2 linked regions of the Mus musculus genome follow. The protein of the gene in region 1 purifies or fractionates together with the protein of each later gene. This does not show direct contact. Links are inferred from orthologs where the notes say so. Each region holds a gene or a part of one and is shown in the gene's direction. Other genes may lie near its edges.

The links.
Region 2: the proteins of Trim24 (region 1) and Ssrp1 purify together in Homo sapiens (affinity purification with mass spectrometry; 3 studies listed by BioGRID and IntAct, with this or other methods). This does not show direct contact. The link is inferred for Mus musculus from reciprocal best matches to the Homo sapiens genes TRIM24 and SSRP1.

Annotation. Positions count from the first base shown.
Region 1 is NC_000072.6:37,943,549-37,947,361, forward strand, and holds part of Trim24 (transcription intermediary factor 1-alpha), read left to right. Parts: intron 1-1,972; coding exon 1,973-2,241; intron 2,242-3,813. UniProt on the Homo sapiens protein: Transcriptional coactivator that interacts with numerous nuclear receptors and coactivators and modulates the transcription of target genes.
Region 2 is NC_000068.7:85,035,568-85,040,114, forward strand, and holds the start of Ssrp1 (FACT complex subunit SSRP1), read left to right. Parts: upstream 1-1,552; 5' UTR 1,553-1,761; intron 1,762-1,883; exon of another isoform or gene 1,884-1,963; intron 1,964-2,208; exon of another isoform or gene 2,209-2,226; 5' UTR 2,227-2,348; coding exon 2,349-2,402; intron 2,403-2,785; coding exon 2,786-2,971; intron 2,972-4,306; coding exon 4,307-4,412; intron 4,413-4,547. UniProt on the Homo sapiens protein: Component of the FACT complex, a general chromatin factor that acts to reorganize nucleosomes. The FACT complex is involved in multiple processes that require DNA as a template such as mRNA elongation, DNA replication and DNA repair.

The DNA of each region.
Region 1 (3,813 bases):
TTTCCCTACATGACTGTTTTGGTCATAACATGTTACTGAACATAACATTGCTATTCATTATCTTGTTTATACTCACTGGGAAAACAGTGTGTCATCAATTATATGCATATGGTACACAAATGCATGAATGTATAGTACTTGTTTTGAGATGATATGAAAATACATTTGCTTACGGGGTACCTAAGTTAGGGATTTAGGAGTTCTTCTCCTCATAGAATCCTGTTTGTGCTTGCATTTTTGTTTTTTAGTATGTATGGGAATCTTCCTGAATGTATGTTTGTGCACCATGTATGTGCAGTGCCCACAGAGTCAAAAATAGGGCACCAGATCCTGCTGGAATTACAGAGGGCTGTGAGCTGCCTGCCTGCCATATGAGTGCTGGGAATGGAAGAGCAGCTGCTAAGCAATCTCGCGCAACCCCAAGAATCCTATTTGTATTGTTACCTCTGTCTCTATCAGAGTCTGTTTCCTCTAACTGTATGTGATGTGTGGGCTTTGATGCTTGGGGGGTGTGTGTGTGTGTTACACTTCCCATGCAGCTAGTGAACAGCCTTCTGCCTATGTGTTCGTGTGTGCATCCGTATACTGGTGCCTGCAGAGTCCAGAAAAGGGCATTTGATTGCTGTAGCTGGAGTTGCAGGGTGGTTGTGATCTGCCTAACAAGGGTACTAGAAACAGAACTTGGGTCTTCCAAAAGAACAGCAAGTGCTCTTAACCACTCAGCTATTTCTCTAGCCCCAAGTTACGCTTTGTGCAGTGGGGATAGAGTGGGGTAAGACAAGAAAGGTCTCCTGTGGTTCAGGGCAGCCTACCTTGACTATGTAGTCAACCTACCCAACATAAAATCATGTTATTATGTGACTTTCTTTTCCCCATCTTGCCTTTTATATTGAACTTCTTACTTTGCAAGCCGTAGTAGCTTTGTAGGGGCCAGCACTGTCACCATGTCACAAGGCTGACAACAATTTTTAAAACCATTGCTCAAGCCCCTGTTGCTCAACTGCTTTATCTTACGAATAGAAGATTTTTCTTTTTTCTTCCCTTCAATTTGTTTTGGGTTTTAGGTCTTTTCTTATCCTGGTCAGGTTATAAATTGTGTGAATGTACAGATAGGGAGTGTGTCTGTAAGTAGTTGAAGGATAACATACAGAGAAGTACTCCGTCTTAAATATCAGGACTCATTGAGTCAGAGAATAGCATCTTGGCAACATTAGGAAGTACATAATCTTGGTAAGCAGTGCAGTCGAAAGGAACACTCAGCTCTCTTGCTGTGCTGCTACGTGTATGGAAGGATTCTCTTTGCTCTTAAAGTTTCTCCCAGGGAAGTGATGGGAAGCAAAAGCTCAGAAGCCCCCTAGACATTTCCCCACAGCCAGCATTTCCTTGATGGCACCTTGGTGCCTGGATTTCTTTTAGAGTCATCAAACATGACTGCTCTTCACCCTCAAGACTACATTGTGTGTGAGAAAGGGAGCAGCTGCAGGAGCCAGTGCTTTTCTCACAGCTTACTATGGGAAAGGAAGACACAGGCGTAGACGAATGTCATCCATACAAAGGAAGAACAAAAAAGAACCAGGGAAGACTAGGTGATAGAGGACCCCCACCCAACCACCCCAGCAGGCCAACATGAGACATAAAGGTGGTCATTTGCTTATCAAAATATATAGCCAGAACTAGAATCAAGCACTTTGATCTACCCTACTTAAAAAAAATTACATAGACATACAAAGCACGGGCTGGAAGAGGGCTGTTCTTGAAAGTCTTATTATTTATAAATGAATTCTTATTCTTAGAAGTTAAGTTTTTATAGAATATAAATAAAAACCTCATTGGGACTCCTCCATTTTTAATAGTTTATAGGATCCTGTGTCCAAAATTCTTCGGCAATTAAAGTTCAACTCAGTAGCTATATAATATGTGGTATTTCACCAATTACCAAACATTTTTATCTTGTTCTCTTTTCTTTAATTAGGTTCTTTAGTAATCGAGGATAAAGAGAGCCAGCCACAAATGCCTAAGCAGAATCCTGTCGTGGAGCAGAGTTCACAGCCACCAGGTGGTTTACCTTCCAACCAGTTATCCAAGTTCCCAACACAGATCAGCCTAGCTCAGTTACGACTCCAGCATATTCAGCAACAGGTAATGGCTCAGAGGCAACAGGTGCAACGGAGGCCAGCACCTGTGGGTTTACCAAACCCTAGAATGCAGGGGCCCATCCAGCAGCCTTCCATCTCTCATCAGGTAAATTTGGAAGCAGGCCTGTCCTAACTTAGATAACTATAGAGTAATTGTGTTGAGCAGCTTACAGTAACCCACACACTGCCACCATCTACATATTAAAATTGACTGCATTGAAGGATCCTTGATCTAACATATAGTTTTGAGCTCACCTCCAAACTGATTTAATGATTTATTTACTGTATCTCCTTTCAGCCTCTATGCATTGTCATCAGTTCTGGGAGGCATAAATGTTCTATTCCCAAGTGACTTGTGCCTCTGGCCGATGTTAAGTGTGTCTCACTAAGTCCCATAGGTGCGTCAGGCTGAGCAATACTACGAGAGTCAATTTGGAGGCAGTATTTAGAAAACTACACTTGATTCTAGAAACTAGGACAGTATTCACCAGAGAAAGTCAGGCAGTCAGAATCCTGTCTTTTCAGCCTTTTAATTTTTCCTGAGAAAATCTATATACTATCCCTATTCCTATTACATGTGTGGTGGTCTGTCATTTTGCAGTCCTCTGATTTATTTATTATTTATTTATTTATTTTGACATGTATTTGCATTGTGTGGTGATAAGTGTCTGTGTGCATGTCCTCGTGTACAGGTGAGCATGCACACGTCACATGTGCAGGCCAGCGGCAGACATCAGTGTCTTCCCTTATTGTCATCCACTTGCTTACTGAGACTGGTCTCAGCAAGTGCCTTAGTCACTGAGTCATCTCTCCAGTCCCTCCAGTCTGCTTTTTGCTCTGTGTACTTTTAGTTAACCCAGTTCTATTCAGGTTAGATAGGACATACTAGATGAATAAAGACTTGGTATAGAGGTGCCTCAGTCTCTTTTGCAGAACTTACAACTCTGTTAATTTTTATCTTCTTCCTGTTTGGACAGAAGGGTTAGTAATGATTTTGTAAATGACACAAATGAGCTGGAGTTTCATAAAAGTCATGTACATGGGGCAAAACTATGCTAAGAAGTCTCATTACACTTAAGAAGAAAACTTAGCTCAAACTGTCTTAGCAACAAAAGCAAAAAGGAAACAGGGCTAATACAGAGATGACTAACTGATAAAAAGAAACCATTAGTTAGAAGAACAGACTTTTACAGGATTTTACCAACCCTAGGATATATAGCCTTTTTACTAGCAATTTAACAAAACATGAAATAGCTTTAAAAGAATTCTTCAACACTAATTGAGAGTTACAGACATACAGCATGCTTTTGTTGTTATTTGCCCATTTGTAATGCTGGGACACAGCCCAGACGCCTGCGCGTTGGAAAGCACATGTTCTACCACCACTACGGAGTAAACCCATCACCTTAATTGCCTTTCTATAACGGGGATGATAACTCAGTACCTGTGAAGACCGTACTTATCCATGTCTGCAGTGGCAGACAAATACATGCAAGCTTACAGCCTGCTTTGTCTATAGCATTTAGTGCTGTCATTTATATAAAATCTCGACTGTACAACTTAATTTTCTAACCTAGAAGTACGTTTCACAATTTCCCTTGTGTTTTATTTTTAGCCTTCTATGAGCACCAGTCTTCTATCCTACTACTTCTTAAATCTGCTAAACACCTATTTCCAC
Region 2 (4,547 bases), on another chromosome or scaffold:
GTGGGGTCTCCAATCCCGGGCTCCAGATTGCCTGAGATGCAGCTGGCTAGGGCCCTCTGGGACTTATGTTTCATCTGCACTCTGTCTACTGTTTCTATTCTGTTCTCTTACGCGGCATCTCTATCCCAGCTCACCAGCTGCTTTGTATTCTCCAAAGCCCCTTGTAACTGCCCACTCTTGAGTTAGCTCATCTGCCTGAGCCAAGAACTCCACTCTTGAGTGTCTGTCGATTTCTATCTAATAGCACAAATAGGGAGAAAGGGTTCTTGACAGTTCTGTGTCTCCTGGGAGGAAGACACGCATTTCTTACCATCTCCTCCTCTCTGCCCTCCAGCATCTCATTATGTTGTCTAACTTGTTATGTTGCCATGTTTCAAATTCACAATCCTCCTGCCCCAGTCTTTGAGTGTTGTGATTACAGATTTGTAATACTACAAAGCGGAAAGTCGCTTATTTCTAACTCTAGTTGGTTGCAACTCTTCAAGTTGCACAGAAATTACTGAACTCCCTCTCTTTTTAAACCCCGAAGTTATTAAAATCTTTTGTTAGGGTATGTGCTCCTAAGAGGCTGGGCTATTTTAACGATCTTCAACAGTTTTGTCAGATCCTAGAAACGTGCTGCATTAATAGGTTTTCATTATGTCTTAAGCCCAGTTTGACTTAGCTAAATAGTGCTAGCAATGATAGTGGTTAAAGCCACAAGCACCGAATGACAAAACACATTTTTATCTATATCATATCCCAGGACTGAGTTAGCAAGTCAGTGCAGTGATATTTCAGGGAAACTGTGGGCTTATCCTGTCTTTGTGTAGGACATATGCTAGCAATCACTCTAAACCCTGAACCCTCATGATTATAAAAGGCTGATGTTAAAGAGTCTGTGTTCTAGGTTCCAGTTTTGATGGTAATGGACTGACACCCAGTCGCAAATCTTTTGTGGTCTCATTTTTCTCATCTGTAAAATGAGATAAACTCAAGCATCTCTGTCAGACCTGGCTTCAGATTTTGCAAGATGCACTCCGGTGCTATGTGAGGCCATCCGGGCTTCTGCCAACGTAGGCTGATGTGATTTCAAGTAAGTTCTAGCTCAAAGGTAAATCCGACACCACCACTTGAATTTAATGCAGCCATCTGCTAGGCTCTTCCTGAGAACCCACAAATTAGGGATATGGACAGGATAGTGTTGGGGGTAGGTGAACTCACTGCAGAAAGGATCTGATCTACTTGCCAGGGTACAGCTGGAAAGCAAGCACAATCGCCGACACCCGCATCTCCTTTGCAGCTAGTGGGGCTACACCTCTGTATTTTTCTTGTTCAACAGACTCCTTCCCAGATTATTTCACAGGAGGGAGGGGCGTGCATGATTCCAACAAACATACAAACCTGAACACCTAATAAAACCGCATAATTTCCCTTCGGAATCTAGTCTTTGAAGAGCAGCTTGTAACTTTCTAAAGAGTGTTCCCGTTTTCTAGTCAAGAATTCAGCCGCGTGGGATTCCATAGCAAGCCTCTCGCTTTAGCCGACCAGGGGGAGTGCCGACGCTCTAGGCGAATGTACCCGTTGGTCGGCCCGGATGATGCCGTTCTAGCCAAGTCTTCCTCTCTATGGTCCGTGCGCGACTTCCGGTGGCGGGACGCGGGGCTGCGCACGCGGGAAAAGCTTCCCCGGCATCCCTTCCCCCGCATCCCTACCCCCTCCCCTGCGTCCCCCTGCGCCCACCGCCCTCACTGTGCCGTCGCGAGGCTGCAGCTCTTAGAGGTGGGTGGTCGCGATCCCTGGGCCCCTGGTGTGCATGGGCCCCGCTCCCCCGCGGGACGATCGGAATGGATCGATCCGCGTTCAAATTCGCGGGCAATGGGCGAATCCATTTTAAAAGAAGGGGGAGAAACGTAGATTCACGCGGGGCCCCGGGGTGGTGGGGTCTCTGCGATCAGGACACTACCCTCTGAGCGGAGTTGAGGTGCGCTCTCTGAGCGGGTCTCAGGTTCCGCCGATTGTTGCCGTGCCTGTCCGTGGAACGTACCGAGAGGGTGTCGGGTTGGGGTGTAAGCGCCACTATAGGCCTGGTTCTGCACCTAGGGTCCTGGGCCTTGGCCTCAGGAGCCCTGCAGAACGGGTCAGTAAGATCCCCAGGCAGCAAAGAACTTGAGACATACCAGGTACATGGCTGAGCGGAGTAAGGTGGCGTTGTTTCTTGCTTATCAGTCTCCTTCCCGAATTCAGATTCCCACCCTGCTGGACATCTACACAACTAACCAGGAATTGGGGCACAGCATCCAGAGAAGGGTTCGTTTTCTCTGGTGCAGCCTAGGGCTGTGTGCTCAGGCCACCACGGGCAGGTGAACATGGCAGAGACATTGGAGTTCAACGACATCTTCCAGGAGGTGAAAGGGTCCATGGTGAGAATGGCTTGGGCAAAAGAAAGGCAGAGAGGGGGAAAGAGTTCGAATCTATGAACGAAAAGCTTAACTCTGACTACTTTTTTGGAAACAGTGTATCAGTGTGTCCCCCAAGCGAAAACGTGAGCAAAGTCTCAAAGAGTTGCAAGATGTTGAGTTTGTTGAGTTGTATTAGAAAACCAGGAAACTGGGGCCCTTACAGGGTTTCTGATGCCAGAGCCAAGCTTGCAGTCTAGACTTAATGTCTGTTGTGTCTTTTAACTTGATTTCACCACGACCGCTTTTCAATTGATACTCTGGCCATCCTGCATCCCATGGGTAAGGGGTAGAAAGGATCCACTACACACTACCCTGTTCTGATTTTGGGTCTGTATTTTGGGCAGAATGATGGGAGGCTTCGATTGAGCCGTCAGGGTATCATCTTTAAGAACAGCAAGACGGGCAAAGTGGACAACATCCAGGCTGGGGAGTTGACAGAAGGCATCTGGCGTCGGGTAGCATTAGGCCATGGGCTTAAACTGCTCACAAAGAATGGGCATGTCTACAAGTACGATGGCTTCCGCGAATCGGTGAGCGATCTTGTTCTGTGACCCACTTTCTTTGTAACTGCCTTGTCTTTTTTTATTTTTAATCTTCTAGAGACAGTTGGCGTTTCTCTGATAATCATGTTACTGCTCATTTGGGTTCCTCGAAGCAAGGCTGTTGGAGACTATTGAACAAAACAAACAAACAAAAAAAACAGTGTTGTGTATTCAGTACACGTGTCGTGTACCTGGACTCCAGGAGGTTTTCTACCATCTTAACTTATACCATGGTTTCCACTTGCTCCCTCTGTCCTGGCTCAGCATCTTAGCTTGGTGCTCTAGGATTTTGCTTTTCCATTTTGAGCTGCTTTTGAGTTACTTGGTTTTAATATTCACTTTCATCAAAAGATCACCTACACAAAGTTTAGAAACTCAGGTGATGCATGTATCTGGGAATTTAAGTTTCTTTACTACTCTTAGCCAGAGGCCCAGAAAAAAAGTTTTTGTGGTTATTGTTAAAAAATATTTTCAGGGTCTGGAGAGATGGCTCAGTGGTTAAGAGCACTGACTGCTCTTCCAGAGATCATGAGTTCAATTCCCAGCAACCACATGGTGGTTCACAACCATCTGTAATGGGATCTGATGCCCTCTTCTGGTGTGTCTGAAGACAGCTTCAGCGTACTCATATATAAAATAAATAATTTTATTTATTTATTTATTTATTTATTTTTGACAGGGTTTCTCTGTGTAGCTCTGGCTGTCCTGGAACTCACTCTGTAGACCAGGCTGGCCTCAAACTCAGAAATCCACCTGCCTCTGCCTTCCAAGTGCTGGGATTAAAGGTGTGTGCCACCACTGTCTGGCATAAATAAGTCTTAAAAAATAATTTTCATTCGTTAAAAAGTATTTATTTTATCTGTATGAGGCTTTGCTAGCTTGTGCACCATGTGCATGCCCGGTGCCCACAAAGCTCAGAGGAGGGCATTGGATCAGCTGGAACTAGAGTTACAGACAGGTGTGAACCACTGTGGGGCGCTGAGAAGGACTCCAAGGTCTTCTGGCAAGAACAAGTACTCTTAACTGCTGGGCCATCAGGTCTCTAGCACTTAAAAGGTTTTAAGCACAAAGGTTAAGGGAAGGAAAGAGGCTTGGAAGAAGGACATCCTTGAAGAGTAGGGCAGAAGGCATCTGGGTTCTAGAAACAGTCTCCACTAACAAAGGGAAATTGTTTTGAAACAGTTTTGGAGTTGGTATACTCAGTTAGCTGAAGTTCCTGAGGAAGATACATTGGTGACCTGAGCTAGAGACTCTCAGGACCTGTTAGTTGTGTTGAGACCCAGAGGTTTAACTGGATCTGCATTTTCTCCGTTTGATTTACAGGAGTTTGAGAAACTCTCTGACTTCTTCAAAACTCACTATCGCCTTGAGCTAATGGAGAAGGATCTGTGTGTGAAGGGCTGGAACTGGGGGACAGTGAAGTTTGGAGGTGAGTGGGCAAGCTTGAGGTTTGGGGAGAAGGTGGGGTGAAGGAGGGCCTCAGATGGTACCTTTCTGTACTCTTTCCTTGGTTCTGATTGCTAATTTCAGTTTGTGTGTTTAGCATGGGTTTCTCCAGCATGTA